Tamandua tetradactyla: one gene and its partner. The protein of the gene in region 1 purifies or fractionates together with the protein of each later gene. This does not show direct contact. Links are inferred from orthologs where the notes say so. Each region holds a gene or a part of one and is shown on either strand. Other genes may lie near its edges.

Evidence for each region.
Region 2: the proteins of ACVR2B (region 1) and INHBA purify together in Homo sapiens (affinity purification with western blotting; 3 studies listed by BioGRID and IntAct, with this or other methods). This does not show direct contact. The link is inferred for Tamandua tetradactyla from reciprocal best matches to the Homo sapiens genes ACVR2B and INHBA.

Annotation. Positions count from the first base shown.
Region 1 is NC_135341.1:48,880,649-48,896,849, reverse strand, and holds the start of ACVR2B (activin receptor type-2B), read left to right. Parts: upstream 1-9,172; 5' UTR 9,173-9,185; coding exon 9,186-9,237; intron 9,238-16,201. UniProt on the Homo sapiens protein: Transmembrane serine/threonine kinase activin type-2 receptor forming an activin receptor complex with activin type-1 serine/threonine kinase receptors (ACVR1, ACVR1B or ACVR1c).
Region 2 is NC_135327.1:80,347,624-80,364,140, forward strand, and holds the start of INHBA (inhibin beta A chain), read left to right. Parts: upstream 1-10,105; 5' UTR 10,106-10,186; intron 10,187-12,704; exon of another isoform or gene 12,705-12,813; 5' UTR 12,814-12,939; coding exon 12,940-13,327; intron 13,328-16,517. UniProt on the Homo sapiens protein: Inhibins/activins are involved in regulating a number of diverse functions such as hypothalamic and pituitary hormone secretion, gonadal hormone secretion, germ cell development and maturation, erythroid differentiation, insulin secretion, nerve cell survival, embryonic axial development or bone growth, depending on their subunit composition.

The DNA of each region.
Region 1 (16,201 bases):
GATTATCATGTAATTTCATGTGTGTGTGTGTGTGTGTGTGTGTGTGTGTGTGTGTGTGTATCCTGCTTGGAGTTCACTGATGTTTTGAATCTGTGGGTTTATAGTTTCCCTCAAACTTGGAAAAATTTTGGCCCTTATTTAAAATTATTTTTCTTTATTCCTCAGAACTTCAACAAGACATATGTTAGACATTTTGAAATTGTCCTACAAATCATGGAATCTGTTCATTTGTTCCCATTCTTCTCCTGGTACTTCTTTTCGGCTAGTTTCTATTGCTATGTCTTCAAGTTAATGGGTCTTATTCTTCTGTAGAGTCTGATCTGCAGTCATTCCCACCCAATAAATATTTTAGACATTATATTTCTTTTATTTCTAGAAAATCCATTGGTTCTTTTTAAATATTTCACATTCTTTAATCATTTTGTTCATGTTTTCATTTAAATCTTTGAACATTTTATAATAACTGACTTAAGATTCTTGACTGATCAACCCCAAGAGGACCTCTTTTGTTGCTCAGATGTGGTCTCTCCCTCCAGCCAACACAATAAGCAAACTCACTGCTCTCCCCCTGTCTACATGGGACATGACTCCCAGGGGTGTGGACCTTCCTGGCAACGTGGGACTGAAATCCTAGAATGAGCTGAGACTCAGCATCAAGGGATTGAGAAAACCTTCTAGACCAAAAGGGGGAAGAGCAAAATGAGACAAAATAAAGTGTCAATGGCTGAGAGATTCCAAACAGAGTCGAGAGGTTAACCTGGAGGTTATTCTTACACATTATATAGATATCACCTTGTTAGTCAAGATGTAATGGAGAGGTTGGAGGGGGAACTGCTTGAAAATATAGAGCTGTGTTCCAGTAGCTGTGTTTCTTTTTTTTTTTTTTTTTTTTTTTTTTTTTTTAAAGGAAAGACAGAGAGAAGGAAGGAAGGATAGAAGGAAGGAAGGAAGGAAGAAAGGGAAACATTTTCTTGTTTTATTATATTCTGTTTCTCCGTTTTTGTTACATGGGCTGGGGCCGGGAATCGAACCGAGGTCCTCCGGCATAGCAGGCAAGCACTTTGCCCGCTGAGCCACCGCGGCCCGCCCGTAGCTGTGTTTCTTGAAGATGATTGTATAATGCTACAACTTTCACAATGTGACTGTGCAAACCTTGTGTCTGAGCTCCTTTTATCTACCTCATCAACAGATGAGTAAAACATATGCAATAAAAATAAATAATAAGGGAAACAAATGTTAAAATAAATCTAGGCTGAAATGTTAGTGATCAGTGAAAAGGAGGGATAAGGGGTAAGGTATATATGAATTTTTTTGTTGTTGTCTTTTTATTTCTTTTTCTGAATTGATGCAAATGTTCTAAGAAATGATCATGATGATGAATATGCAACTATGTGATGATATTGTGAATTACTGATTATATATATAGAATGGAATGATCATAAGCTAAGAATCTTAGTGTTTTTTGTTGTATTTTTAAAAAAATTTAAAAATTAATAAAAAAAATAAAAGACAGAGGTTCTTGACTGATAATTCCATCATGCTTGTCAGTTTTGCATCTGTTTTTATTGGCTGGGTTTTCTCTCGCTTCTGGATCACATTTTTCTCATGTCTAGTAATTTCTTATTAGATGCTGGGCATTTGAAGATTTTTGTATTTGAGTGCCAGATTTCTAGAATTCCTTTATTATAAAATGTTGGATTTTGACCTTGTAGGATATTAAATTACCATAGATCAACATGATCATTTCAATGCTTTTTTTTTTTCAGCTTACAATGGTGGGTTTGCAGTACCCTGTTTTACAGTAGTCTAGCACTCTAGGGCTTGTTTAGTTCCACTATGTGGAGTAACTTTTCTGGGCCTCTACTGAGTGCTGAGGGTGTTCAGTGAAGACTCTCCACTCTGGCTAGTTAAAAGTAAGAAGTTTTCCAGTCCTATGTGGGTTCTGGAAACTATTTATCTTATAGCTCATCTTTCTTTCTTTGTCTAACCTCATGGAGTTTCATTCTATGTATGTGAAGCTTAGAATTTTGCATCAGATTCAAGGAGATGTCTCTCTAGAATCCAGGGTCCTCTATGCAACTTCCTCCTCTCTGGCACTCTGCCTCCTAAATTCCAATTGATGTGGCCTTTCTGACTTCCAGTATCTTTCTCTCCTCAACACTGATAGGGTGCCAGGTTCTGCTGGAGATTCCCCTCCCTGCTTTGTAGACTGGAATTTTTCTGCAGATGGGCTGCAGGGGTTATCATAGAGCTCAATTATTTTGTTTCTTTTTTATCAGGGATTGATTGTCCAATGTCCAAAAAATAGTTGCTTCCTTGGGGGAATGGTGAGAAAGGGGAAAAATTCAACTTCCCCATTTGGAGAATTCCTGATATTCTCGCAAGTAGTAGGGACAACCAAATCACTAGGCCGAGCCCTCAATCTTGGCGTTTGTTCATATGAAACTTATCCCCACAAAGGATAGGCTAAGCCCACTTAAAATTAGGCCTAAGAGTCACCCCCAGAGAACCTCTTTTGTTGCTCAGATGTGGCCTATCTCTCTCTCTCTCTCTCAGCCAACATGGCAGGAAAACTCACTGCCCTCCCCTATTCTATGTGGGACATGACTCCCAAGGGTGTAAACTTCCCTGGCAATGTGAGACAGAAACCTTAGAATGAGCTAGGACTCAGCATCAAGGTATTGGGAAAACCTTCTCGACCGAAAGGAGGAAGAGAGAAATGAGACAAAATAAACTGTCAATGGCTGAGACATTTCAAACAGAGTTGAGAGGTTATCCTTACGCATTACGTAGATATCCCCTTTTTAGTTTAAGGTGTATTAGAGAGGCTAGAGGGAAGTGCCTGAAACTGTAGAGCTGTGTTCCAGTACCCATGTTTCTTGAAGATGATTGTATAATAATATAGCTTTTGCATTGTGACTGTGTGATTATGGAAACCTTGTGTGTGTTGCTCCTCTCATCTATGGTATAGACAGATGAGTAAAATACACGGGTTAAAAATAAATAAATAATAGGGGGAACAAATGTAAATTGAGTAGATTGAAATACTAGTCATCAATGGAAGCGGTTGGTAAGTGGTATAGAAAAAAATAGGGGGCCAAAGGTTAAAATATATTGGGTAGATGGAAATACTAGAGGTCACGAGAGGGAGGGGTAAGGTATGATTGAGTTTTTTCTTTCTATTTCTTTTTCTGGAGTGATGCAAATGTTCTAAGAAATGATAATGGTGATGAATATACAACTATGTGATTATATTGTGAGTCAATGATTATATATGAATATTTGTCATATATTAAGAATGTATTTGTATGTTGTTATTTTTTGTCAATAAAAATATAAATAAATAAAAGAAAAAAAAATAGTTGCCGCCTGTACTTTGTCCAGTTTTCTTGTTCTTATGGCAGGAGGGAAGTGCTATCCCAGTTACTGCATAATAGGCTGGAAATACAAATCATTATGATGCTGTTTTTATTCCAATTACAGCAGTTTCTCCTCAGTGTAGGGTCCATATCTGAAAGGGAAGTCTCATCAGTTTTAAGAGTTCATAGTGCGGTCTGTCCCAGCTCCTTCTATTCTTATTAGAGTTTCCTTGCATTGAATTGGGGAAAACCCCTCCCAGTTTCACTTGCTGTTTTCAAGTTCTTGAATCAAGTGTTCCAATGAATATTTGTTACCTACCTGAGGATTCTATTGTTCTCAGGTCTATTATACATCATGTTGCATCCCTCTGCTTCCTCCTACACAGATGCTGGTTCGTGCAGATTTATTGTTGTTGGAAGTTTGTTGTTCACCGTATTTGCTTTGATTTTTTTTTGGGAAACTTTGTCAACTAGTTTTATTGTAAATGCCCATGGACTTTCTGTTTTTGCCATGTATTAGGTCTGTGTTTTGATGTGGGGATTCTGAGAGATTTAAAAGCTGTTCAGCCTCAAGATAGCCACCATCTTCCCAGAATCTGGCAGAAGTTTTAAGAACCAGCATGCAATTTACCATGCTGTCTTTCTCCTGTCTGTACAACAGAAGCATGTATCAAAATGTAGCCTCCACCAGCCCATGCATCACTGAGTTATTACAATGAATAGGGTTTGCTTGGTGACCCACAGTGGACACCAGGCATGAATGAGAGATTTTTTTTTTTTGGTTTTAGGCCATTGAGGTTTAGGGTTTTGTTTTTTTTGAATTAGCACAGCATAATCTAATCGGCTTTGATTTTTAGAGTATGTTTCCTTTCCACCTATGCCAATTAGTTTAGTTGACTTCAAGGTAGCCACCATAAAGTTAAGAGAGGGGCATAGAAATAAGGCATAGAAATAAAGCAGTTTGAGAACTATGTCTAGGAAATAACTTTTGGTGTTGCTAATGGTATGTACAATGGATTGGAAACAAATAGATTGATAACTTACTAAGTTTTTAGGGAATTATACTGCTAAAGAAACTGTGAAGCCCTTACTATATAGTGTAAATGGCACCCTCTCAAATTGTTTAATGTGGCACTGCTTTACTACATTACTCACTACAGCATATCTCTAACCAGAACATCTCAGAAACCATGAGAGGCCGGGGCCACTTCTGTATTTTGAATTGAGGAAATCCCCAAACAAAATTATAAAAATTGTGATATACTTGGAGAGTTTACCTTACCAAATTAATGCATTTAACTCTCCAAATAGAATGCGCTATATAGAATAAGCACTCTTTTTTTTTTTTTTTTTTTTTTTTTTTTTTTTTTTATTAACGGAATGAAAAAAAAGAAATTAACACAACATTTAGAAATCATACCATTCTACATATGCACTCAGTAATTCTTAACATCATCACATAGATGCATGATCATTGTTTCTTAGTACATTTGCATCAGTTTAGAGGAACTAGCAACACAACAGAAAAAGCTATAAAATGTTAATATAAAGAAAAGAAATAAAAGTAGTAGTAATAGTAAAAAACAACAACAACAAACAAACCAACAAGCAAACAAAAACAAAAAAAAAACCCTATAGCTCAGATGCAGCTTCATTCAGTATTTTAACATGATTACTTTACAATTAGGTATTATTGTGCTGTCCATTTTTGAGTTTTTGTATCTAGTCCTGTTGCACAATCTGTATCCCTTCAGCTTCAATTACCCATTGTCTTACCCTGTTTCTAACTCCTGCTGAACTCTGTTACCAATGACATATTTCAAGTTTATTCTCGAATGTCCGTTCACAACAGTGGGACCATACAGTATTTGTCCTTTAGTTTTTGGCTGGATTCACTCAGCATAATATTCTCTAGGTCCATCCATGTTATTACATGGTTCACAAGTTTATCTTGTCTTAAAGCTGCATAATATTCCATCGTATGTATATACCACAGTTTGTTTAGCCACTCTTCTGTTGATGGAGATTTTGGCTGTTTCCATCTCTTTGCAATTGTAAATAACGCTGCTATAAACATTGGTGTGCAAATGTCCGTTTGTGTCTTTGCCCTTAAGTCCTTTGAGTAGATACCTAGCAATGGTATTGCTGGGTCGTATGGCAATTCTATATTCAGCTTTTTGAGGAACCGCCAAACTGCCTTCCACAGTGGTTGCACCCTTTGACATTCCCACCAACAGTGAATAAGTGTGCCTCTTTCTCCGCATCCTCTCCAGCACTTGTCATTTTCTGTTTTGTTGATAATGGCCATTCTGGTGGGTGTGAGATGATATCTCATTGTGGTTTTGAGAATAAGCACTCTTATTATAATGCTATAATTTTCAGTCTTCTTCCAGCAGCTTGATACTGGAATGTCATGCTCAATTGTCTGTTTGCAATTCCTTAGTTTCTGACCTTGATTACTGAGGAGAGAGACTAGTGGAAGAGTGATTCTAACACAGAGTGCCTTTTTGGCAGAATTCTGCCATAAATCCTATAGTGGGCATTTGTAGTTTGGGGTCTTTCAGCTTCTAGTCACTCTGATATCAAATGTGGTATTTAGTATTCTTTTTATTCAAAATAATAGAAAATACAAACCAAACTTGCTTTTCAGATATCCATCAGCATTTTTCTCAACCAGCCTAATATTTGCTCAGTGCGCTCATGAACAAAATGGCCATGGTGGCAGAGAGAAGGGGTAATACTACAAGCTCAACAATATGGATTTCTACTGTCCAAGAGAATCAGGGGAAGAGGATTCTAGCAGAGGGAATGGTGGATGTGGATACCATAAGGCAGGAATAACCTTGATGTGTCTAGGGAACAGAAAGCAAACCAGGATATCTGGCTCATAATGGTGAGATAGATGTGGTAAGAGGGGCTGTGATGGTTGATTTCATGTGTTCAACTTCACTAGATTATGGCATCCACTTGTTTGGTTGAGCAAGTACTGGCCTAATTGTTACCGTGAGGGTATTTTGTAGGTAGATAACAAATCTTTACTGAGTTGATCGCATCTATGGCTGCTCTCAATAAAGGCAACTGCATTCAGTAATAAGACGAATCTCTTCATCCAATCAGTCAGGGGCCTTAAAGGGAGAACTGAGGATTTCAGCAGTCAGAAAAAAAGAATTTCTATCTCTACTTTAGCTGGTCAGCTTCTACTAGGAAATTTGCTGTCATCTTCATTGGAGTTCCCAACTTTTGGCTTCTTCTGTGGAAGTCAACATCACTTTCATTGAGTTTCCAATTTGTAGCTTGCCCTATGGAATTGGGACTTGCTAATCCCCACATCACATGAGCCAATTCCTATAATAAATCTCATAATATCTACCTAAACACACATATTTTTATCCTTCAGTTTTGTTTTTCTGAAGAACACTGAGTAACAAAGGGGCTAATTATGTAGAGTTTTGTTAGCGAGGGTAATAGGATGCCACAGGAGGCTCTTAAGCAAGGGAGTAATGTTATACGATTGACATTTTTAAAAGATCACTCCAGTTACTGTATAGAGAATGTATTGTAGCCAGGACGACCTGGGAATGGGAGATGACCAGTTAAGGTCTCTTCTGGTACACTGCTTTTGCATACTAAGTTCGAGATGTCTGTTAGACAAATAGAGATGTCAAGAAGGCAGTTAGATATACAAAATGTGGAGCTCCCAGAGAGGGTGGGGTAGAAGCAGGTATGCAGACAACGTGCATCACCCTGAGCGTTAATTATGATTCCAAACCTGATGTGGAGAAGAGAGGAACCAGCCAATCTAGGTGTTGGCACATGGGTTATAGAGGATAACTTCCCTTATGGAGGCAGTGACTTATCCTCCATGGAAAGTAAGCATTCTGGATATAGAATTGCCTTCCCTGTCATTGTGTCTCCTAGCATGGATCCCGCAGACTTAGCAAATACCTTATACACTGTCAGGGTATTCCTTGCAACACAACTTCTTGCCTGGCACACAGTAGCCTTCAGACTTGCATCAGAAGGCCTAAATAATGGGTTAACTATCTGGATTGCGGCAAAGAAGAGCCATCGTTTTCAACATAGAATTTCCAAAATTGGAAAGGATGCTTAGAGACCCAGAAATCTTTCTGGGTAATTACTCTAAAGTGTGGTCCCTGAGGTGTTCCTTGTGACTTGGTGCCTGGGAATGGAGGACCATCATTTCGACTTCAATGAGTACAATATATGTTCTATACGGTAAATTTTTATATAAGATTTTGTTTGAATAAAGTTTCTGCTATTAAAAACATGCATAGCACTAAATGAGTATAACCTCTTCATTTTCCATATGGAATTTCAGAGAAGCTGAATGCCTTAGATTTTTGGGCATCACCTCCCTCCCGGCTGCTCTTGCACTGCCCCTGCCCTGCTCCAAGCAAGGAATGTATCATGCCCACGGGAGTGGGAGGGCAAGAACTATCTATAGATCCCACAGCCTCATCCCAGAGCTGTGAGGGACTTTCCCTCCTTAGCCGGGAGTTCCATCACGACGCTCCAGTTGTGTGATAAGGTGGCTGGAACCTGAATTGGAGCACTACAGGCTCTCAAGGAGGAATATGAAGCAGGGGTAAGGGATGGGTGTAGGTAATGTGGGCAGCAGAGCCATTTTCTAGAAAAAATCTTCAACTGCGGAAGCTTGGGGGGTAGTTGAGAGCAGTTCTGGATGTGCAGCTTGAAGGAGGGGGCATATGCTGCAGACCATTTAGAGTAAGGTCGGAGTAGCAGGTCGCCAGAGGCCCAAATTATTCCATCTGCTACTTCTCTGTGCAGCGCTCTCCTCATCTTCCTTACTTGGGTTCAAATCACTATTTCCCAGGCTCCCCACCTGAATCCTAGCGTGTGTGTGAATTTAAGTTGTGGACGCTGGGGACCACTTGTCTTTTTGGAGAAGCTTTTTCTGCCCATTAATTCACCCGTCAATAAAGACACGACCCTCTCCTGGTTCATCGTGACCCCCATTTCACAGGTGGGGCGACAGAAGCGCCGAGAAGAGTACAGTCGGGATGCAGTCCACCCACTCCGGCGTCGCGGGGCGGCTTGCGATCCGCAGCATGGGCTAGAGCGCGCAGAGCGAAATCCACGGTGCAGTGGCTGAGGGGTCTTGCGGTCCGGGGCAAAGTGTTGTCCGAAGCCAAATCCCGCCACCACCCGCCGCACTCCCGACTTTCCACCACCCGAGCCCACTAACATCCCCCAGGAGGGCGTGGGCAGGGGGCGGGGCCTCCATGTTGTTGTTTCTATGGGGCCCCGCCCCCGAGGGGGAGAGCGGACCACGCGGCCGGAGGACCCGCCTCCCCTCCCCCTCCTCGCCCAGCCCGCCCGCCTCTTTGTATCCAACATCCGGGTTTCCCCGCTGGCTCGGCTCCGCGACCGCGGCTCAGGAGCCATTTTGGACTCGGTTCAGCTCCCCTCCCCCCACCCCTCCCCCCGCTCATGGCCCCTCCGGACTCGGCCCCTGCGCCCGGGGCCCGGGCCCAACCCCGCTGCGCTATGCCTGAGCCGGGCGCGCCCTGGCCCGCGCTCCGCTGCCGCCCCCCGGTCCCCGCGTCGCCCTGGAGCCCGGGCCGCAGCCTCCGCCATCCGCAGCGGCCCTGAACTCGGCCCGGTCGCCCTCCCCTTAGAGCCCGCACGCTTCCCGGGTAGGAAGGCGCAGGAAGCGCGCGGGCAACGAGACCCAAGGGAGGCGCGGGAAGGAGAGCACAGCCGCCGCCCGGCCCTGCGCGCCCCGGGAGCGCCGCGCGGCCCTGCCCGCGGGCTCCGGGCGTCCGCGGGGCGGCGCCGCGGAACATGACGGCGCCCTGGGCGGCCCTCGCCCTCCTCTGGGGATCGCTGTGCGCGGGTAAGGACGGGGAGCGCCGTGGGGGGCGCGCAGAGGACGCGCGGGTCCTGCTCTGGGCGCCGCGAGGTGTTTACCAACAAAGGGCGGGCCCGCGGCCGCCTAGCTGCGCCACCTGCACCCAGCTCGCATCTCCCGGTGTTGGGGCGGCGGCGGGGGCCACCGGGACCCGCGTTCGGTGTTATTGGAGGAAAGATCTTGTCTTCGGGGCTCCAGATCCCGGCGGCTTTAAGGGTTGGGAGGAGTGTCGCGCACCGGCTAGAGTCACGGTCCGCTATGGGGGCCGGGGCTTGTAGCCCCAGGGTCTGGGTTCAGGCTACGCGGGCACGTGGAATCAGGAAGAGTGAGGGAAAACGGGGGAGTGGGGAAGGCAGCCAAACTGGGCGGGCAGAGCTAATCGGGGGTGGCGGCGGCGGGATTGTAGGTGCAGGAGCGTCCGGGGGGAGGGCTGCGCACCCCCTCACAACTACTAGGGGTGGCGAAGCGCAGGGGGCGGCTTCGCACAGCCCCGCGGAGTTTCCCGTACCCCACCCGGTTCTGCGTCGCGTACCCCGCACGGTGGGCTGTTCGCTCTGGATCACACCTGCTCCCGCTCTCTTTGCAGCGGACTCGGGGACGCAGGGTGCAGCCGCCCCGCGGGACAGCTTTGTTTTGGGCGCCTGGGAGGAGGAGGTGAGGCGAGAAGGAAAACCAACAGGTCTTCGTTAGTTCGGGCCTCTGGGAGGCACAAGGCGGGGGTGGGAGACCCGCATCCAACTCGCCGGTGGCCGTGGGGCTAGCGTTCAATTCTCGAGATGTAGGCTGTGTGGATGTGGGTGTGTATATAGGTGAGTTCCACTGGGAAGGCGCTTTTTCGTCTTTTCCCAAGCGTTAATTTTCCTCACCCAGAGGTCACGGGGCGCTCCTACACCCGGCGCGAAAAGACTGACTTCGGGATTCATTTCGGATACTCGGGGCAGCCTTAGGAGGCGCAGAAAGCTGAGCGTTGGGTGGCTGGTGGGCGGCAGCCGGGGCGCGAGGTCCCGCGCGTCTTTGTTCCCAGCCCCCATTACACATGCAGCGCGGGTCCCCCGCCGCCCGCGGTGGCAGCAGCCCAGAGTCTGGGAAACCCGCGAGGGGCGGGGTCGGGCCTGGAGCTGCTGCAGGGGTGGATGGAGATCGGGAATCGCCATCCTATCCCCACCTCTACTCTTACCAGCCGCCTTTGCTTTGTAGAGAGGCTCAGCTGTGCACGCTGACTGCAAGTGAGTTTCTTTGTGTGGGGCTGTGACCTGCGAAGCCCAAATGTAGGGACCAAAGACAGGTACTCTTTTATCTGTTAGCTCACTCCTGTGTGGTGGAGGCAAAATGGTAGTCAGTTGAATTTCTTGTTTCTCTTTCAGTCCTCCTACCTTTTAAGTGCAGTTTAAGATGCTTTTCCCAAGATTGAGGCTTCTGAAAAGGAAGACCTTGACCAGAGGTGGGGATGTCGGGAGTAGTCGGACTTTATAGGCATGCAGCAGCCTGCCTGCCTGTCCCTAGGAATCACCTTTCCTGGTAACCCCTTCTGGGACAGAATGGGCTGGAATCTGGGGACCGCCCCCCAAATTGCCTCACCCTGGCTTCATCAATCTCATATCCCACCCTCCCTTTATTGGGCAGGGCTAGATGGTATTGGGCCCCTGGAAGGACTGTTTCTCTCAATTGTCCCCCATATCCCCTATTGGACAGTGTTCCCTGCTAGGCTAGGGTATCCTGCTGCTCTCCCTACTTGTGGGAGCCTTGCCACTTGCAGACTTAAGTCCAGGGACCTGTGTTCCTGCCTTGGGAGGATGGTGGGGATTGCTGGGTGTTTTAACACCAGCCAAATGGCCACTCCCTTGACCCGTGGAGATCTGTAGAAAGAGTTGTTTCAGGCCCAGGTGGGGGCAGAGGTGGCCCTCCTGTTCCTTTGGTTTCGGGGATGACCTTCCTTCAAGCTCCTGGCCTCTTATTTGGAATTTTACCCATCCCCTTTGGCACTTAATGCCTTGAGGAAAATCTGTCCAATAGAAATAGAATATAAACCATATATAAAATTTTCTAATAGTCACATTAATAAAAGGGTAAAGAAACTGGTGAAAGTTAACATATTTTATTTAACCAGGTATATACAAAATAATCATTTGAACATATAATCAATAAAAAAATTATTGAAACATTTTTCATTGTCTTTTTTTTGTACTATATTTGAAATCCAGTATGTATTTTACAGTTAACAAAACGTCTTAATTCAGATTTTGTAGTTCAAGTGCTCACTAGTCATATTTAACTAGTGGCTGCCATACTGGGCAGTGCAGACCTAGAAGAAAAGGCAAAATTTATGCAATGGCAGATGGTACTTGTCATCCGAACAATGTTCATTTCTGCAAGATGTACATGGTTTGTGCCTGGCCCTATGTCCTTGGGAAACAACGTATTTGGCTCTTGCATTGTGATGTGTCTCCCAAACACAAGAGCTCCTGAAGTCTGTCTATGTACTTGGGGTTCAGATCATAGCCCTGGTGAGGGGGGAGCAGTGTTCCTGGGAGCCAGTGGCTAAGGAGCCCCTCTAGGCTGTCCCATCAGGAAGTGCAGGCCCTGACTGCCCTGAACTACCTTATAGGCTGCCCACTCTGATCCATGTTTTCTTGTCCATTTGCTTAAGGGAAGAAGGTGTGTGTGAGTGAAGTGACCCTTAGGCCCAGTGTAGTGGTTGCTGCTGAGGACATGGACCACACAGCCATAGGCTGTTGGTGCCCCTCCCCAGAAAAGGGATATCCTCTGATACTTGTCTGTGGACCTGCTGGACACTACAGACGCTGTCTTGTCTGGCTGGCCATGCTGCCTGTTACGGGTGTGGGTACCCTCCCCATCCCTCAGAGGGCCAGAGTGCTGTGGCCTCTCAGGGTGGGCCTGCAGGGTCTTTCTAGGCATAGAGAATCCCCAAATAGCACCTGGATCTCTCCTGGCACTTCTCTGAAGAGACTTCTTTTTCCCTGCCCTGATCAAGATGGCAAAGTGAGAAGCTTCAGGTCTCTGTCCCATGGAAGAAGTTTGAACAACCTGCAACAACTGGCAGAAACATTTTTCTCAATGCTCCAGAAAAGAGGTAAAGGACTGTGGTGATAAAATGAGCACCAGATCAAAGCAAAAGGCCACTTAAAAGTGGTAGGTTCTTTTTGCACCCTGGCTGACCCCTGTCCCACCCTTCCAGCTTGGTGCAGAGGTGGACAGTTCTCCAAGTACGGATCCTTGGTCTCAGTTCTGGAGGGAGCAGAGTAACCCTTGTTCACAAACTGGGAGTACATATGTTTGGCCCAATCTGGTACTGGCCTGAGGGACCTGCCATCCCAGAACTTGCCCTGCATGTAGAAGGAGGCTCACACAGCTGTGAGAGCAGTCAAATTGTGCTGTCTGGGTAACGGATAGTTGGAGGTAGGACATAAAGTACATAGTGGGTGACTATGAGGAAACTTTTTCCTGGGGAAGAGGGAACATTCTTGTACACCTGGAATTCCTAGGGTCATGCATGCATGCACAAAAAGGATCTGGGAGGCCCCTAGGCTGTGACCTGGAGCTGTTCTCCAAACTCATTCTATTGATAAGTTCTGGGAGAGAGCACCTACTTGCACAGGTCAGTCTACAAAGACTGGGAAAGGTGTTTTCTTTTTTTCCTCCTTTTTTTTGGTTAGCTCTTACCATTCAAGGAAAGCTCTGTTATAACACTAGCTGGGTATAACCTTAAGGAACAGCCTCCTCAGGGTCTAAATTCCAGTGATGACACATTAAAATATCAAAATGTTCAGGTTTCAACAAAAGATTACAAAATATCCAAAGATAGAGGAAGTGGTGGCCAAGGCAAAAGAAGAGATTAAAGCATTTGAAACCATCAGTGAGGAGGATCAGACCTGGCTCATTCCAGATAGAGACTGAAAAAAATGGTCATAAATATGCTTACATTGCTAAAGGGAAATACAGACATAGAACTAAAGGAAACCAGGAAAAATAGATGAACATAAAGAGAATATCAGTAGAAAGATGGAAATCAACAGAGCTGATGACCACTGTAATAGAAATTTAAAATACCCTATAGGGGTTCAGTAGCAGATTGGAGCTGGCAGAAGAAAGAATCAGTGAACTTAAAGAAAAGACAATTGAAGTAGTTCATTCTGAGGAGCAGAAGGAAGAAAGAATGAAGTGAACAGAGCCTTCATTGTGGTGGTCTGTGGGTCACTGTCAAATGTGCCCATATGCGAACTGTGGGAATCCCAGAAGAAGAAGAAAGAGAAAAAGGGGCAGAGAGAATATGCAAAGAAATAAGGCTTAGAAGCATCCCAGTTTAATGAAAGACATGAATATCATTCTGGGTTTGTATTATTACACATCCAAGCTGCTCAACAAACTCCAAATGGGATAAAGCCACATAGACCCACATTGTGTCATGTTATCAAACTGTCAGATGCCAAAGATAAAGATAATTGTAAAAACTGTAAGAGAGAAGCAACATGTGATATACGTAGGAGCCTCAGTAAGATTGAATGCTGATTTCTCATCAGAAACCACAGAGACAAGAAGGCAGTGGTGAGACATATTTAAAGTACTGAGAGCATAAAATTGCCAGCCAAGAATTCTGTATCTTGCAAAACTGTCTTTCGGAAATGAGGGAGAGATTAAGACATTCTCAGGTAAACAAAAGCTAAGGGAGTTTGTTAATACTGGACCAGCCCTATGGGAGATAATAAAGAGAGTTCTTAGGTTGAAAGGAGAAGACAATAGACAATCCAGGCATGCTGTTTTATTGTGCTTTGCTTTATTGAGCTTATCAGATACCACATTTTTTACAAACTGAAGGTTTCGGCAACTCTATTAAACAAGTCTGTTGGTGCCATTTTTCCAATAACGTGCTTACTTTGTTTCTCTCTGTGACATTTTGATTAAGGTATTGTTTTTTAAAACATAATACCATTGCACACACTTAAAAGGCTACAGTATAGTTGAAATTGGGAAACAGAAGATTTGTGTGATTTGCTTTATTGTGGTATTTGCTTCGTTGTGGTGGTCTGGAGCCAGACCCACAGTATCTATTGAGATGTGCCTGTGGAGTGAAACTGCATGAACAGAGATCTCCAGTGAGGGTAATGAGATGAGTAAATGTAAATGCCAGTACTATTTTATTTTATTTTTGGTTTCTACTTTTCACTTCCTATAGGATCTAGAAGGCCGATGTGTAAAATGTAATGACAAATCAGTAGTTTGGGATTCATAATGTATACATACGAACTACATAAAAGTGGGGGACGGACGGGTATAGAAACATAGTTTATGTGTGCTATTGAAGTTAAAGTTGCTATCAAAGCAGACGAGATTGTTGCAGATTTAGGTTATTGCATTTAAGCCCCATGGTAACCACAAGGAAAATATTGGAGAGTATGCAGACTCATAGAGAATCAAAGTATAGTGTAGATTGCCAGGATAAGAGGCAGGGGCAATAAGGAGTTAATGAAGATGAGTGTAGGGTTTTTGTTTGCGGTGAAGAGAAAGTAATAGAAATGGATTATGGCAAGGGTACTACAACCCTGTGAATGTGATTAATCAAATCCCAGTGAATAGTATGCTTAGGAGGATTTGGAGTAGGAAGATTTATGTTGTATATATATGTTTTCACAGTTAAATAAAAGTAGAAACTAATGAGACAATGACATATGTAATACATGATACTAGATGGGATCTAAGAATGGAGGAGAAAAGATTCAAAAGGACGTTAACAGGACATAGAATGATAGAACGTAAACTAAAATCAATGTTAAATTTCTTAAACTTGATAACTGCACTTAAGGTGATTACATAAATGATTATCATTGTTCATAGGAAAATGTACATGGAAATATTTTGTGTTCAAGGAGTATTATGTGTGCAACCTGCTCACAAATGTTTAGAAAATAGATTGATAGAATGAAACGGTAAATGTGGTAGAATGTTTAAATTGGTGAATCTGGATATCTGTGGGGTGAGGATATGTTGGAGTTCTCTGTATGGGTTTTATATTATTTTTGCAGCTGTCCTGTAAGTTTGAAATTATTTGAAAATAAAAAATTTTAAAGATAGAAAGAAACTTTTTGAGGGAACTGAGCAAAGAGTCCCTGGTTCTTCTTTGTGTCATGGGCCCCTCTGAGAATTTGATATTAGCTGTATTTCCTTTCCCCACATGTGTGTGTACACTCACTGTTTTGCGCTAATATAGGGAACCGGTTGCCCCTGCCTCTTTTCAAGTCCAGCCACGTGCACATATACACTGCACTGGTCTTGAGGGGCAACTTGCTGTCCTGAGGAGGTGCTCTGAGCTTGTTCCTTCCTTGCTGCCTCTACCCTGTTATGGCCACTGGAAGTACCCTGTCCTTTACTTCTGCCTTTTGAGATCCCATGCAATATTCAGATTCTAGTCCTAGTCTCCTCGTTCTCCTCCAGGTGGTGGTGCCCTGAGGTCCTCCACATCTGGATGCCCATGCATGCAGTTCCCTGTTTGGGACCTCTGGAAAGTACAAGTTGGACCCAGTGCACATCAGTTCAGGAATTTAGATCCACTCGCAGATATTAGCCTGTCACCACAGACTGGGATCTGGGGGACCAGGTAGAGGTCTGGATACTTTTGAGGGTGACATTGGGTAGACGACCATGAGCTAGAGTCTTGGCTAGGCGGACCTCATTCTAAAACAGTTTCTCAACCTTGGCACTTCTGATATTTTGGACCAGGTGATTCTTTGTTGTGTGAGGGTGGGCGAGCTTTCCTGTGCATTGTATGTAGGATATTTAGCAGTATCCTTGACCTCTGCCTTCTAATTGTGGTAGCACCTCTCCAGTCATGGCAATTGAAGATGTCTCCAGATATTGCCATAACATCTTAGGGAAGGGGGACAAAATCATCTCAGGTTGAGAACAACTGGTTTAGAGTGTTCTCATGCTTTAAATA
Region 2 (16,517 bases), on another chromosome or scaffold:
GTAATATAAATGCCTCTCCAACAGGACAAAATCAGTAAATGGTGCTGATTCCATCTTTGGGAAAAAGCAATAGCCCTTCCTTGTTCTATATGCCAAAATATATTCCAGATATTTTGGATCAGTGAATGGAATGCCAGAAAAACGTTTAGAGGAAAACATAGATGAATAAATATTTGATTTTGTGATAAAGAAGAAACCTTAGCATAAAGAAAAAGAGTTGCAGATTAATCTACATAAAAATGTAAACTCTCATTCTTTGTCAGAAACACTATAAGCAAAATTAAAAGGCAAAGAACTAACCAGGAAAAAAATACAATTTATACATCAGACACTGGATTAGGGTTCAAAATATGAAGAGTTCTTAATAATAAAATATACTAAATAAGCATAATAATAAAATATATACATATAAATTTATATGTAATCAAATTACATTTAAAATAAAAATATATGAAAAGAACTCACTAATGAAAAATGCAACAGGCAAAGGACATGAGCAACTTCTCAAAAAATTGTGCAAACAGACAATAAAATGTTTAATTAATACAAATTTAAGCAGACCATATACCATTTTTGGCCTCTCAAATAAATTTTTTAAGGTTTGGAGGAAGATAACATGGTAATATTCAGGCGAGGACATGGACAATGATTCATGCCTTTCCACTATTGGTTGGAATAGTGGAAATGGGTGAGACTTGAAAGCGGGCCACTTGTTACACTGTACAAAGATCTTAAATATGTCCATACTCTTAGACCTAACAATTCAGCTTCTGAGAATTTATCTTCAGAAAATAATCAGAGACGCACTCAAAAATATAAAAATATGTCCACTGCAGTATTATTTATAATTGCAAAATTTGGGGAACCACTTCAATGTACAATGATAGTAGACTGGTTAAAAATAAAAAAGACATCTAGAGGATAGATTACTCCCTAGTCACTAATATTTCTAAAGAATAATTGGGCTATTAAAAATATTCACTATATAATGTTATGTGAAAATAAATAATTACACGCAATAATAATTATGATTCGATTGCAATTTTGCTTATACACACTAACAGGCACATACATAAAATTATAACAATGATTATTTCTGGGAAGGATGATCATATGTGATTTACATTTTTTATACTTATCCACACTTTCCACCTTATAGGCGGAGAAGGGATGCCATTTAAATCAGAATGCATGATGTCATCTACAAAGCAACCACTTTGGTATTGAGAGTGGACAGATCAGGAAGAATCGAGAATAAGCCTCTCGACTTATTTCTTATGCAGGTGCATCGGAAAGGGTGCCTCCATCTCTTCCCCCTCGCACTCTGATAAACAATTGGATCACTCGGTATCCAGGCTTCTCCACAAGTCAGTAGCATTCTGACTTGCAGTGATTCACTTTCCCCAGGGACCATCTTCCTTTTCTAGGTCTCTCAGAAATTTCCTTAGAAGGATCTGTAGCTTTGGATGGCCCCGTGAGCATTTCTTCACAGACATTCAGTGTTGATGAGTTGTACTTGTTTATCCTTTTGCCCCAGTTCCACCTTGACAGCTGTTAGAAATCAGAAGTACCTCTTTGTCAAGAAAAGACTGAGAGTCTTCTAGGTAAAACATGAATCTACCTGATGCTTTTTTTCTTTGCCTTGCCAGCAAGAAACAGGTTCATGGAGGTGGCCAAATTCACAATTACAGCCTAAAGGTCACGCACTGTACCTGAAACCTATTTTGGCTTCTTCAAAAATGCCTGCTATTCTTCATGGCACCAGTTAGGGGGCAGCAGATAGCTTGGCGTCCTTTGCTGTCTAAAGGAAGCTTTTAATTTGGAGATCCCGAAGTTGCAATATAAATGCATTACTGTTTTATTTCCACGTAACCTGGTCTGGCGGTTCTTTCCTGCACCAGCCAATCACTTCTGGAAGCCTAACCTCTCACCTGGTAGAATGCTTAAAATTCAATACTGAGGAAAGGTGAACCAAAGTAATAAATTATCCTCTATAATTACCGTACTCTGCCTCAGCAGAGTCAGTTTCATCATTATCTAAATATTACAGAATCCCAGTCTTCTCTTTTGGTCTATCATTCTGTCTCTCACACATGCCTAAGTAAGCTTTATGGTGACTCCCTAAAACACCCTCAGGATGGAACTGCAAGTAAGGGGATGAGTGAAGACATCTATAAAACTGCTACAGCAAGGGCCCCAAGATGCTAGTTTCAGAGGATGAAGTAAAGCCCAGCCAGTTGTGAAAGCATTTTTCTTCCTGGTGCATACATCATGGAAACACTCCTGTCTGATTTTGGAGACACTCCTTTCTGCAATATTTTATATATACATATACGTATTATGTACATGTGTGTGTGTGTGTGTGTAACAACTGAACAGCCTGACAATTTTGTCTATTCAAGTGTTTTAAAGAAATAACAGTAGCATGATGCTGGGTTCTTGAGAATCTTTGAATCAATGTCTTCTTTTGGTTTTAGTCACTTGTCTTTTTTAGTTTTCAGAAGCTCCTTATCTGATAAATAATAAAAGATGGGAAACCTGGGCCCCAGAGCAAGGCAGAATGATTTGTCACTTGGAAGCCAAAGCATGTATTTAGGCCTCCCTGTGACCGTCCATCCTGATTTCTTCTCATAGAAGGTTTGTCCATCACCCTAGGGTCATACAGAGCAGGGCACAGTAAGTTCAGTTGAACTGACAAAGCTTTTGTAAGGAGAGGAAGAGAAATAATACTAGGTAAGTAAACCTGGCTTTGTACCAGGTACATTCTAAAAGCTTTAACGTGTATTAACTCATTTATTCCCCACAACAACCCTACAAGGGAAGGGCTATTATTATCAGCATCAACCAGTCGAGGGAAATGAGATACTTAGTAGGTGAAGTAATTTTCCCAGCATCTACCAGCTCAAAATTGGTGACTCCTGGATTCAAACCCAGGCGTCTAACTCCAGGATTCATCTCCACCTCCCCAATTGGGTGCAGAGCCTGTACCGGTGGTCCCTGGGAGCCAGGTGTAGCTCCTCATCCCGAAGGGCTGCCCCTCCCATCAGGTGCCCCCTGGTCAGGGTTAACCGAGAGTCATTCTAGATGCATAGTTCTTAGGACTGCCTGCATTTCAAGTCCGGGGAGCAGATCTTCCAAGGAGGATATACTTTCCTAGGACAAAGATCCTCACTGAGATTTGGCCCTGCCGTGCCTCCATGTGAAAAGTTAAGTTCCCCTATCAGTGTTTGAATGGAAGGTTAGGGAGGATTGCTCAGAGGGGGAAAGTGTGAAATGGTAATCACTTTCATATGACACTTGAGAAATGTTATAATAAAGCTGAGTAAATTGGAGCATGAGTTAGCCAGTCCTTTGCCTAATGATGTCACCCACTTTCTGCTTCCTCCAGCCTATGATTAATAAAGGGGGGATTATTACAGTAACTAACTCCTGGTGGGCAGCAGCAACGTCAGCAGCAGCTGAGCAAACTGACTACATTTAGTCGTGCGTGTGTATGTGGGCATTTCCCCCCCCCCCCCCCCCCCCCCCCGTGACTAACGTGAAGCTAGCAGGATCTCATAAAACAAAAGCTCCTTGAAATTTAGGGAAACTTATTGGGTGAGCTCTTTTCTGCAGGGGGCACTATTTTAAGTATTCTCATTTCATAGTTAAATGATGTCGTTGGCCCTAAGTTGCGTTATTGGCTTTCTGCCCTCATTCATTAACCCATGGCCTTTGGGAGAGAGGTTTTCCGAGGCTTTCCTTTTTTTTTTTTTTCTCTCTGCTAATACAATGGCACTTCCTGCCTTCAGCAATATCTCCCATCTTGTAAGAGAAACTCAATGAATCTTAAGAAAATGGACTGTGGCAATAAGTTATTCTTTCAAAATCTGTGGCTGATCGTAGAAATCAGTGATTCCAGTTAAACTCCAAAGGGATCTTGTGTTTAATGTTAGTTTGCTTTTCCAAGCTGATAAAGACTAACAGAAATCCTGCTTGTTATTTCACCTTTGCAAACTTGACCTTCCTAAAATTAGAGCGGGCACCTGGAAATATTGACCAACTAAGCTGAGCCGCTGCCACGAGCCTGCTGCCAGCGTACGTGATTGGACACAGAGCCCAGTGTGTGGGACTGGATGAGCCTCAGAGGTTCTCTGTCCGGGAGGCAGGACCTTTGCACTCTTTCTATCAAGTGATGAGGGAGGCAGCAACTCACTGATTTTAAAAATAATAATAATAATTTATCCAGGACTGCCCCCTGCTTTTCTGTGTCTTTCCCCTTCTGAAGTTGCAATTTGGGAACGAGTTGTGGAAGTAGCATTGTGGATAGGAAAAACTGGATTAGAACCAAGATTTCTGCTCTCTTATCAGTCCAGTGGAATCTATAAGCTAAACCTCTATGTCCTCCAGTCAACAGCATGGAACTTATTACCCCAGGGGATCCAGGTGAGAAAAACGATTATGACAGTGTGTTGTATGTTCTTGTGTGAGCATTTTTTAATAATCTTCTGGGGCCATAGAAAGATTGACCTCTGTAGCAGATGTTTCCGGATTGGGTTAGAATTGAGATATGATAAGCAATGCAGAAATACATGTTGGTGAGGATGAACTTTGAGGGTGTATTCATTCAGTTTCAGTTAGTATTAGTGTTTGTTTCCTTTCTAATGTACGTTTTTGCTATTGAGTCTGTAAATGATTATTTCCTTAAATATTTGAGATGGTTAAAGTCAGAAACGGTTACTTCTCGGGCAGGAATCCAGGCATTTCTGAGTCACTAAGAAGTTGATTGAGGCCTTGGTTCCAAAATGACCATTTACCTGAGGAGATTGTGATTCACATCGCGGAGTAAATGAGACGGCGTCTAAGTGTCTAAGACACTCCCTTTACGGCTCTTCAGCTTTAAATGACCCACCACCTACCCTATCCTCAAGGCATTACATGAACTACACAAGAGTCAACGTCATGGCCCAGAGAACAGTATCTCACATCTAAGCTAGTTTGACCTGGGCTAATTCCCTTTTGCAGGTTCCACCAACATTCGTTGATGATGATGATTATATGATCTTCCCTAATGAGGGGACCCATCACAATAGCTTCCCCAGTCCTCACAAGAGAGCAAAACTTGAAAGGGCATGATCTTCCGTTAAAACCACAATAACTCAATCTTTTAAAAATTAAGTTTGAAGAACATAATCTTGCTTGGAACACGCATTAGGATTTAGCAAAGCACTCTGTTTTATCTCTTTGGATATCTATTGTATGCCATTCCCCTAAGGTATCAAACAAATAATATGAAGCCACATCATATTTTCTTGCTCTGGGAGACAGGCATGGTAATCACAATTTGTGAATCTTACTTCAGAAAATTCTCTATTGTATGGACTTGTCTGAGCCTTAAGGTCTGAAATGAACAACTCAATTTCTATTCATTTGCTCTTTTTTACAAATTTGCTGCCACCTAACAGCTTGGGTCTGAGCCAGCTCACCTCATTTTGTTTTTGGTCACCAAGATCTTGCTTTGGGTTAGAATAAAATCAAGCAGGAAATGTACCAAAGCCACACTGGGAACGTCATATTGTTGCTGGAAAATGGTAATGTCACCAGAGAGGGATTCTTACTGGGCCTGGTAGCTGCAGGGTGCCATGGGTCTCCATTAATTAGGAAGCATGAGACATACAAGGACACAGAATTGCTTGAATTATTAATATTTTGCATAGTTGTAACATTTTTTTCTTGATTGTCAAGTCCTCTTGAAGCATAGAGGGAAAGGGAATTAGCTATAACTTTAAAATTATAACTCTCAATCAAAATGTCTCAGTTGACATTTTGGGTCGCATAATTCTTTGGGGAGGTCATGGGGAGGGGCTGCCTTGCATGTCATAGGATGTTTAGCAGCATCCCTGGCCTCTGCCCATTGGACACAGTAGTGTACCTTCTGCCCCTTGCAAGATGTGATAATCAAAAATGTCCCCAGATTGCCAAATGTCACTGTCTTCAGCCCCCCCCCCCCCCCCCCCACCAGTTGAGAACCACTGCTTTAGACTGAAGAACGGAAGTTTACTTTCTGGAATTATTTCCCCCCCAGATCATTTTAACACTAGGATCTGGCTTCCTGGTTTGGACAATGGCATTTCCAAAGACTGGAAACAGAACTCGTATAGAGCACAAGACCTTGCAGGATTCCAGGGGTTCTGAGAGTTATGTGAAATTTAGGAATAGAGTTTTGCAATGAGTATTTTGACCCCATTGTTTCCCAGTGAACTTTGGAGGAATTTTAGTGCTCCCTTCTGCCTATCAGTTTAGAACTATTCCTTCACTGATTTAACTTAAATAACAGTTCAATTTTGAATGTGAAATGCTGGTCTGTCTTGTTCCAACATCCTTTCTACCTAACATGTAGCCCAAGCAGTTTGCAGGCTGTGGCTGTCCAGGAAACAAGCAGGGTTTGCCAATCCCATACTAGATCTAAATCATTTGGTGGGACCCTTAATCGCAGACTCCTTGCTGCAAATATCACTCTGGGCCATGGCCACATTTTCTTGATTTGGAGCTGCCTCTCTAGGGAGCCACCAGCTCACCCACGATGGAAGGTTTTCCTGCTTTGAGCCTAGAATAACACGTCAGCTGCTGAGAACACCTCGCGTCCTTTTGATTTCTCTCTGCAGTCACGTTTTATGTTCACTTTCCCAGACCGGATGAACCAGAAATCATGCTTTTTTGGAAACAGATTTTTCATAGGAACTAAACACCCTGACTCGTCAGCAGCCTCGTCCGTGCCTCTAAAGCCCCAGCCTGTGCCATTTCAGCTGAATCAGATGACATCTTCTCAGTCACCTACTTGCGGTGTTCACGTCTCCTGGCTTTTATTTTTTTGATTGAATAACAGGGATGCGTGAGCAGCAGTTAAAATAACAGACCCATGGAAAACGGCCCCCTTCTTAGGCCTGTCTCCTTGTTCCAGGAGTACGGGCGAAAGAGAGACCAATTAGTAGCATGGATTAAAGCTAAAGAAGGAAAATGAACATCCGTGCTTCTTGACCTATGACAAATGTCCACAAGGACAGTTCCTGTCGTGGGTTGACATCACTATAGGGTCAGCTGGTCCCCTAAGGTATTAAGTGGCTCCATCAGCCACAGGGAGGCACAGGAACACTGGTCTTTCTTCCATTCGCACCAGGGAGCTCTTATCCTTAAACGAACTTTGTTTTTTGACCATCTCACTAATTGTGATTGAAAACACCAACTCCCCAGCAATGCACAAGCATTGGAGTTAGCAGCAAGACAGGCCCTAATTGCTCCATTTACATAAAAGTAGAAACATACAACTTCTAAATATAAATCTCTGGCAGTCGTTCCTTTTGCAATTACAGTAAAATAAGGTACCCCAGTTTCACTCCCGGCTCATTCGCGCAGCAAGCTGCTCCACCGGGTTCTCTAAAGGCTGCTCCTCAAAAGAGAATAGAGACATGCAAATGCTCCAGCGTGTAGTTCCGAGCTTTGTGAAATCGCCAGTAAATCAAGCAGCCTCCACTAGGAGAATGACGCGGTGGCAGCGGGCCACTTTGCTAGTACAGTAGCTGGTAGGATCGAAATCCACAATTAGCAAAGAGACAGTGTGCTGGTGTGTGAACGCTCCCTGGCTCGCCTCTGCCCGCGGTGGATCCCGCCCGCCGGCCAAACTGGAGGTCCGGGTCCCTGACATTTGCTGTGGTTTCAGTCCCTGGCATCGAGGGCTGGGTTCAGAGATTCCCAGCTGCACTCACTGAACAGGGATTTTTTTTTTTCTCTCTCTCTCTCTCTCGCTCGCTCTCTCTTTCTCTCCCTGAATTCTTTAGCTGCCAAATGGGGGGAAAAATCAAGAGCTGCTCTTAAAAGAAGTTGCCCTTGCTGGTGCTCCGGGTAAAAATAGAGGCGGCCGCTTAGCTTGGCTTGGCCCTGGCTCCAGGCTTCCCGAGAGCCGCGCTGCGCAGCGGCCGCGTTCCGGCGTGATCCCTGGAAGCTACCAGCAGGTGCTGCTCAAGGTACAGTAGCAGGGCCCAGAAGCCTGGGACCAGAAGGGCCTGGGGTGCGGGGACGTTGCTGGGGGAGGGGGCAGGAAGTGAAAGAGAAACCAAAGTGAGGAACGAGAAGGAGATCTCTGTCTAGAGCGGGGCTCACCAGCCTATGCCCTAAGGGCCCTTGAGTTGGGAAGGGAAAAAAAAAAAAATCCCCAATCCAGAATGGTGCACAGAAGGTAATTTAATCTGCTGGCTTCCTCTACCACCCCTACCTTAATTTTTCCTGAGGTAGAAGTCATTTCCACTTTGGTTCAGCCTCTGAGGTTGGAGAGTCAGGTAGGGAATTAGATCAGAGCTGGTGGCCTGGGCTGGCTGAGCAGGTGGGCACTTCTTTGGCATCCCGTAGCCAGTGTGGTCCCAGAGTCACACAGAGTCACTACAGTGCAGGCACTGTAGATTCCAGTGGCACAAATGTTTGAAAAAGGCCCACCAAGCCTCTCAGAAACTCTTCTTTTCTGAGCACTGTCTTTGACCCTGAAGTTTAGTATTATTTTTCCCACTTTATAGATGAGAATACTGAGGCCCAGAGTTATAGAATTCCTGAGCAGTGGAATTGGGTATGATCCAGGTTTGTTATGTGCCCCCAAATCATGAGGGAACACCATGATGATTTCACAATGCCAGGGGTCATGGGTGGGGAATGGGTGAATTAAATGCACCCTATTCCCTGGACCCCCAGGTCATTTCTCTCCATCCAAAAGGGTGGAGGAGTTGCTTTCCTATAAACTGTTTCAGTTCCTCCAGTTCTAAAATGATGGGCAGTTTTGGAATTCACCACCACTCATCCTATTTCTACCTTTTCCTCTCAGATTCTCTCTTGTCCCTTATAACCTAATAATTTCATTTTCTACTTCATTTCTCCATATCCAGTTCTTGGAGTTCTCCTCCCTATCTGTGCCACCTCCACCCCCCACCCCCCGTATACAACTCAGCATACACATTTTCTGTGGGTTTAGCCAAGAGACCTCTCTTACACAGAAAACTTCTGGTGTCCTAACAGAACCTGCTTAAGTTACACATCAGGAGGCCAGAGCCTCTATATTTTGCTTGTGGGCACAGTGAAAAGTTTATTTTATGCATGTTAAATCCTGCATACAAAACAACATATCTGGTCATATGGCTTTCATTAGCTCCCAATTTTGCACATTTTATCCAACTTGTCATGAGAACCCAGCTTATGCTTCAGCTAGACTCCTTCAAACAATTCTTCTCCACCATTCTTGTCTGAAGATTCCTTCCTCCCGCGTCACTCCCCAGGCTTGGCAACATCCCCCACCTCTCCCCAAAAAGCAAAGCAAAAACTGGCCAACTTTATCCTTCAAGGAATATTCATTTCTTTTCATTAATCTCATGCTATAAGTATAACAATTTAGAAATCATGGACTTGAAGTTCTGGTAAAGCTGAATGATCCATGAGTTTTTTTTTTCTTTGCTGTTTAGTAGCCTGTGATTCTAAAACCCTGACAAAGACACTTACAAAGTTCACTTGCAAAAGAATGACTATTTCTAAATGATTTATGAAGCAGGCATTCAATTTCAAGATGTAAAATGATAGTGTAAGTCAGGGGAGGGGAGGGCATCATCCTATGGGTGTGCATATTTTTCCTAATTCATTCTGAATGAAATCTCTTACTTAAAAAAAAATCAGAATCATTGTAAAGAGCACTAAGAATTTTCTTCCCTGTAAGAAACAATAAAATACTTTTAAAATAGAGGCAGCTTCATGAAGTAACAGATGCTTTATGTAAAGACCTAAAACAGAACCCTAGTATGATGAGACGTGTGTGTATGTGTGAGTAGTAAAAAGAGAAGTTGAAAAATGGACACTCAATGAGCTATCTGTCCAAATCCCTTTTTTTTTCTTAAAGGTAGTCGAGTCACAGCCAGAGGATTCACTGGGCTTTCCATTAGATAATAAATTATGAAATATGTCTCACACTGGAAAAACCAGTCATCCACTGATGTCATCCTGATTCTAACCAATCCCCAACAAAGCCCCAGCCCTCCTCTTTTGAGTGGTACCGATATGTGAGTGTACAAATAAGTAGTACAGTATAAAACTTCACAGTGCCAATACTATAAAGAGGAACTCAGAGAGCTCTGGCCACATGATACAAGAATCTGCTGGCGAAAGAGAGGGGACCGGAAAGGTAATGCTTTTTAACTCTTCCTTAGGAGCGATTTGCACATTCATAATCAGAGGGAATTTTAAAAAGAAATTTACAACTTATTGGCACTTCCATGGGAGTTGCGATTTGTACCTTTTTATATTCTTCAGGCAGGTTAATTCAGCTTTTAATAGTCCTAGAGCATGCAAATAGATTATGTGTTTATACAACCCACTCAGCACATATATACCAGCACATATGCCAAACAGAAAGCTATTTTTAAGAGTTCCATTCGCAAACAGTAAATTCAAGGAACACACACAGACTCACATTCAGAGGGAATCCAAACACTGATAACTTGCACTTATCTAAACGCTACTATTAAGACTCTTGAGTCCTTTCAAGTCATTAAACTTTGAGTTCTATTTCAGACTCTCTTGTAAAACTTAATTGGACTACAAAATGCTTTGGGTTCTCTATATGTGGCTCCAAATAGGTAGATGATGCTGAGTATTATATTACAAAGATGTTTTATTAAGCAGTTATAATGCAAATGCCACCCTATTCTTTTTCACCATACCCCACCGAAAAAAAAAAAAAAGGAGAGGATTTTAAGGCAATATTGATAAAGCCTTAAGAATAGCAATGGAGTAGATCACTTTCCTTGAAGCAGAAGCCCCAAAGGTGATAGATGCCTTAAACCAGGGAAAGTCTTGCAAATAGTTGTTTTGGAAATGGGGCAGGGTATACAATCCAGAGAAGCATTGTTCTATCTGACTGTAATTTTGACAATTTCCTTCTCCTCCTCCCTTTGCACTCAGATGTAATGTTGGTAGTCATGATATTTATTAATTTTTTCCCCCCCAAAACTGCTTTGCTCGACTATAATGCTCTGAATACACTAGGTGTCAGATATAAGCTGACTGTATCTACAGAAACAGAGAGGGCTTATGTGTGGGAAAGAAACCAAGAGGGAAGGAAAGCTTTAACAGATGGACCTCTTAAAGTATTTCTGCATGATAAAAGCAATAAGACAGAAAATGAAAAAAAACAGGGGGGTGGTGGTGGTGAGGGGCATGGAGGGAAAAAAACCTCAGAAAGGCATTGTTTAAGAAGTTACATGTTTCTTTTTCTATGAACACTAAAATCCATGTTGATTTCATCTGCGCTGCTCCTTTGAGGGGGGGAAAAAGAAGCAGGAGAGGAGCCTGCCAATGAATGTCCTGGTGGGGACTGAGGGTAGGGGGCAGGCTGAGAAAACTACCACATGACAGAGAAAATAATTTGGTAATATATTTTAGAGATTCTTTTCCCAGAGGACTAGTTACTCAAGTATAGGAGTGCACTCTTTTGTATGAAACGATGTGGGAAAGGCCAAATGAATGTCGCACCTTATCTGTGAAGTCGAGCAAGCAGTGGTCGGCTGCACTTTTACGTGTGAGTGTGTGCGGGGCAGAAAGGGGAGGCTGAAAGGGGACTGGAGAGCAACTTCCCTGACACTGGCGTGCACAGTGCTGCTTGCCGTTTGACTCTTTCAATACCCTGCCACATTCTGCGGTTGGGAAAAGTAGAGTGTATTATATGACCCCACACAAAAGTTCTATCGCATTCCCTTCTGATCGCCTGCCAGTGTTGATAACCCCAAATACCTGAATATGAATGAATGGGGAAAGGAACATCTCAGGTCCCCTGCATTCAGGCCAGAACTGGCCAAAAGTCTCTTTGGCTTCTGTCTCCTCTGTTCCCTGACCTTCACAACGGGTCCTCTAGGACCTCCGGCAGCCTGGGCCGTCACTTTAAGGACCTGGTGGGCTTTTCACTACTTAGGGCCATGGTGGCTGGCTAGGGCAGAGGAGAGGTGGGGGCTTATTTTCTCAGTCAAGTCATCCCTGTTAACTGAGAACAGTGCATTTGTTTGGAAGTGCCCCTGCTTCTCGCCCCTGCCCCCCAAAAACCCAACAATAACAACAACAAAAAACCCACCAAAAAAAAAGAAAAAAGAAAAAAGAGGAAGAAAGTGAATCAAGAGGATTGGAAAAAAATTAAAACAAAGTCGCGCAAATTTAAGGTAATTTAATTCAGAAGGGAAAGTAGAACCCTGAGCATGGCGCTACTTGAAGAGAGGTGTGTATGAGGGAGCAAAGGAGCAGAAGGAAAGCAGCCTGTCAGAAAATGGGCTGTCCCTCCCCTCCCTAGTCACAGCCTTTACTCACTGACAAACTCCCTCCCTCTCCCATTCACTCACTCACTTAGGGCCAATCCGTTCTCTCTCTCTCTCCCTCTCTCTCTCTCTCTCTCTCTCTCTCTCTCTCTCTCTCTCTCTCTCTCTCTCTCTCTCTCTCTCTCTCTCTCTCCCTCTCTCTCCTTTTCCCCCCTCCCTCTCTCCTCTCTCTCTCTCTCTCTCCCCCCTCTCCCTGTCTCTCTTTCTGTCTCTCCCTGTCTCTCTCTCCTCCCTTCCTCTCTCTGTCTCTGTCAGCCCCCCCACCCTGCTCTCCCTCCCCCTTCCCTCCCTCCCTCTCCCTCCCTCCCTCCCCCCTCCCTCCCTCCTCTCTAACTCGGAGACAGTCAGGACTCTCCTCCCTGACAGCCACAAACCTACAGCACTCACTGCATTCAGAGAGGGAACCTGCAAACAAAACTTCACAGAAAACTTTTTGTTCTTGTTCCAGAGAATTTGCTGAAGAAAAGGAAAAAAAAAAAAAAAACCGAAAGAAAAAAAAAAAAAACCTGTGCGTGAGGGGGGAGGAAAAGCAGGGCCTTTTAAAAAGGCAATCACAACAACTTTTGCTGCCAGGATGCCCTTGCTCTGGCTGAGAGGATTTCTGTTGGCGAGTTGCTGGATTATAGTGAGGAGTTCCCCCACCCCAGGATCCGAGGGGCACGGTGCAGCCCCCGACTGCCCGTCCTGTGCCCTGGCCACCCTCCCAAAGGATGCACCCAACCCTCAGCCGGAGATGGTGGAGGCGGTCAAGAAGCACATTTTAAACATGCTGCACTTGAAGAAGAGACCCGATGTCACCCAGCCCGTGCCCAAGGCGGCGCTTCTCAACGCGATCAAAAAGCTTCATGTGGGCAAAGTGGGAGAAAACGGGTATGTGGAGATTGAGGATGACATCGGCAGGAGGGCAGAAATGAATGAACTCATGGAGCAGACATCAGAGATCATCACATTTGCGGAGTCAGGTTGGTGCTGGCACTGGTGGGGGGTGGGGGGAGTAAAATATATTTCTCTGACAGTCCGAGGAGGAACTTCTTTTCCCTCCAGCTATAAACCGCTTGGAAAGGTTGTTCGTTCTTAGGTGATGGTAGCAGATGGAGGGGAGGCTGGGAGGGGGAGAGGGCTTCACAGAAACGGAATTCTTCCAGGTCGAACTCCCTGGCTGGGGATGACTTGCTTACACTTGCTAACTCAGCCGGACACCCAGGGAGGAAGCTGTCCGCCAATCTCGAGCTGGAAGCCAGGCAGCGAGGGGCTCTCCTCCCCCCTGCCTAGGAAAGAAACCCAGGCAGCCGCAGGAAAGCGGGGGCATTTTCGGGTGCTAGGGGAGCAGAGGAGGCTTCCGAAACCCCATCCAAAGTTTTGATTCGGGGGCGGGGTGTGGGAGTGCGGTGATCGGGGTAGAATGGCACAGATGAAGTCATTATCTTAAAACAAACCTTCCCCTTTAAAAGTCCAACGAGGGGCCACAGATCCGAGAAGCAGGGCAGAGTTACTAGTGACAGGCACTTTTACCTTTAGAAAACTGTGTCCCTAAGTGCAGAGGCTCCACGGTTTAAGCAGTAAAGGGCTACTTTGGAGGACAATTCACATTGAACCAGCAGTCACTTTTGGAATACTGACTTTTGCTCTCTCTCGTTCTTTTTTTTTTAGATTGAAAAAAAAGAGAGAGAGAGAGAGAGAGGGTTTTGTTCTCTGTAAAGTTACCAAGAGCTCTCTGCCAAGGAATGCAACCTTGACAAAGTGCTCTCAGATACTACGCTGAACTCTCACTCAATCCTTAAGAGGAAAAACTTTAATAGATTCTCATCGTTGTCCCAGGACCATGCTAACCTGTTGCTGAATAGAAAATACCTGTCAGAAAGTCTGGGCCAGAGACCTGGAGCCAGGCTGTTTTTCTAGTTCCATGACAAAGATCACTTTGCATGCCCCAAGCCCATGCACGGCGGGGCGCACACATGTGTCAGTGCCATGTCACTTTCCCTGTGATGCCACGCTAAAGAATTGTACGTCTTGCCAAAGCCATTCGAAAGGAATGCCATTGTTTTGTGTGGTAGAACATATGGCCAGTTAAGTATGTGCAGGGACTCCTAGCATTTTTGTTTAAAAGTTTGCCGCAGCAGTATAAACAATTAAGGCAACACTCAGAATTTCCAGTCCTGAAAACCTGTTGACTCAGATGTTCTGTTTTCCAGAAAACCATGCAGGACTGGGCATCCTTTGGGGAGCAGAGAACCTGCTGGCCTCGTGGCTTGCCCCTGTAGGAGAAACCTCGGTGCCACAAGTCCTCAGGCCCTTAAGCTCTCTCACCAGAAGCCTCTTTTTCTCTCTTTAGGGCAGGTCTTAGCTTTCTTTCCATAAATCTTTCCTGGTGCAACTCCAAAGGACGTGCTGATTATGACTATCATTTGAAGGCAATTGAGGAAAAAAGTCAGGCTGGAGTTTTCAAGTCGCCAGCCAGTTTTTCTCAAACCTTCACAGTTGTAAAGTAGGAAAGGAAAACCTTGGGTCCTATGAGTGGGATGGATTCCAGCCGTGTAAAGGGCTGCTCCACGTACTGACATGAGGATATGAGCTTTCATATACCGACTGGTCACACATGATGGCGCCAAATGAAATGCCTAATCAATTGGCTTTAATGTCACATGACAAAGTTTATCTGTGTCCTCCACCAGTGCCTGGCCATCAACCGAGGGATCCGGTCTTTTAGTTATACACCTGAGCTAGCAATATGGCCTTCTTTCTGACTTATTGGACTTTTAAAGCACATCATTCTCTTGGCATTCAGGAACTTTTGCAGTGAAAGAATTTGACCATTTGCCTTCCTTCAGTGGTACCTCTCAGTGCTGAACTTCTCAGTTATAGGAGATTCTTTTTAAAAATAAAAATTAAAAAAATTCTGCTAGGTGTTTAGTTTGAAAGAAACTGCACTGCTTTTTGAAAAGGTGATTCATTTAATTTACAAGTTGCCTAAAGTTTAAGGTTTGTAATGGAAAACTCCTCCCAGTTGAGTTTATAACTTGACTTTGGGTGAGCTGCTGGATGCTGAGAAGAGGTTGACTACATTGGTTTATTTTTCCTCATCTCAGAGGTTTTACACATCAGATTTAAGTTGAATTCCTATTATTTCACAGATTTAATGACTGTTCTTTAGTAGACAGTCCATTCTCTGAGTACAATGTGAGCATTTTGATGCCAATTTTGCTATGCAGGGAAAGATTTATCATCTGAAGGATTGCAGACAATATATAAAAATGAAAAGCAGTGATCCATGTCTTTGTTGCTTTGGAATAACTGAACCTTAATATTCCAGCCATCCAAAATGTCAAGATTTTTGGAGGAAAGGACATTTTCTTTATTTTAAAACTATTCTTTGTACAGCATGAAAGCCAGTTGATAAAAGTATCACCTGTGTGCATGCTACAGACGCATACCCAGAGAAGTGCTTTTCGGCTACGAGTGCCTTCAGTTTGGGGATACATATCTCGTGCTTGTCTCTTTTCTCTTTGATTGCTTGATAAAGCCAAGATATGGTCACAGGAGTTGAGGTGCCTAAGAACTAATGCCTAGAACTCTTTTTACCTGAGTTTGTCTCATTGGGCTCAGGTAGAATGTGCCTATGTTTGTACAGCTAATGTGAGTTGTTATTGAGTTAGAAGAAGGGAATTAACTCTAAGGCACCCTGAAGTTTATTTCAACAAATAAAAATGGTGTCTTTTTATTCTATCACCAAAGAATGCTCACCAAGGTTAGTGTCTTGTCTGTTTAGGATAAGAGCCTCAGGGTTTACTTTAAGGCCTTAAAGAGATGTCCTTGCTACAGAAGAGAGGCAAAAGAGTCAGCTGTCACTATACTCATACATCGACAATAAAGCTAAAATTGATGGCTTTCTTGGCTGCTGTACCTTATTTTATCTATGATAGTAACTGGCCAGTCAATGCCCAGCAATCAACTGTTGAGTCTCCCTCCATACACTGCCAAATTTACAGGCTGATTCTGATAATTAACTTAGCCAATCGACTGCACATGTTAAAGAAAGGTAAGGGAAAGCAAGAAAACTGAAACACCAAGAAATGGAAAATGCTCACAGAATCTAGATTTTGTCAAAAGCAACACATAAATCTCCCCTCTTGGAGATTACTATTTACAGAAAGC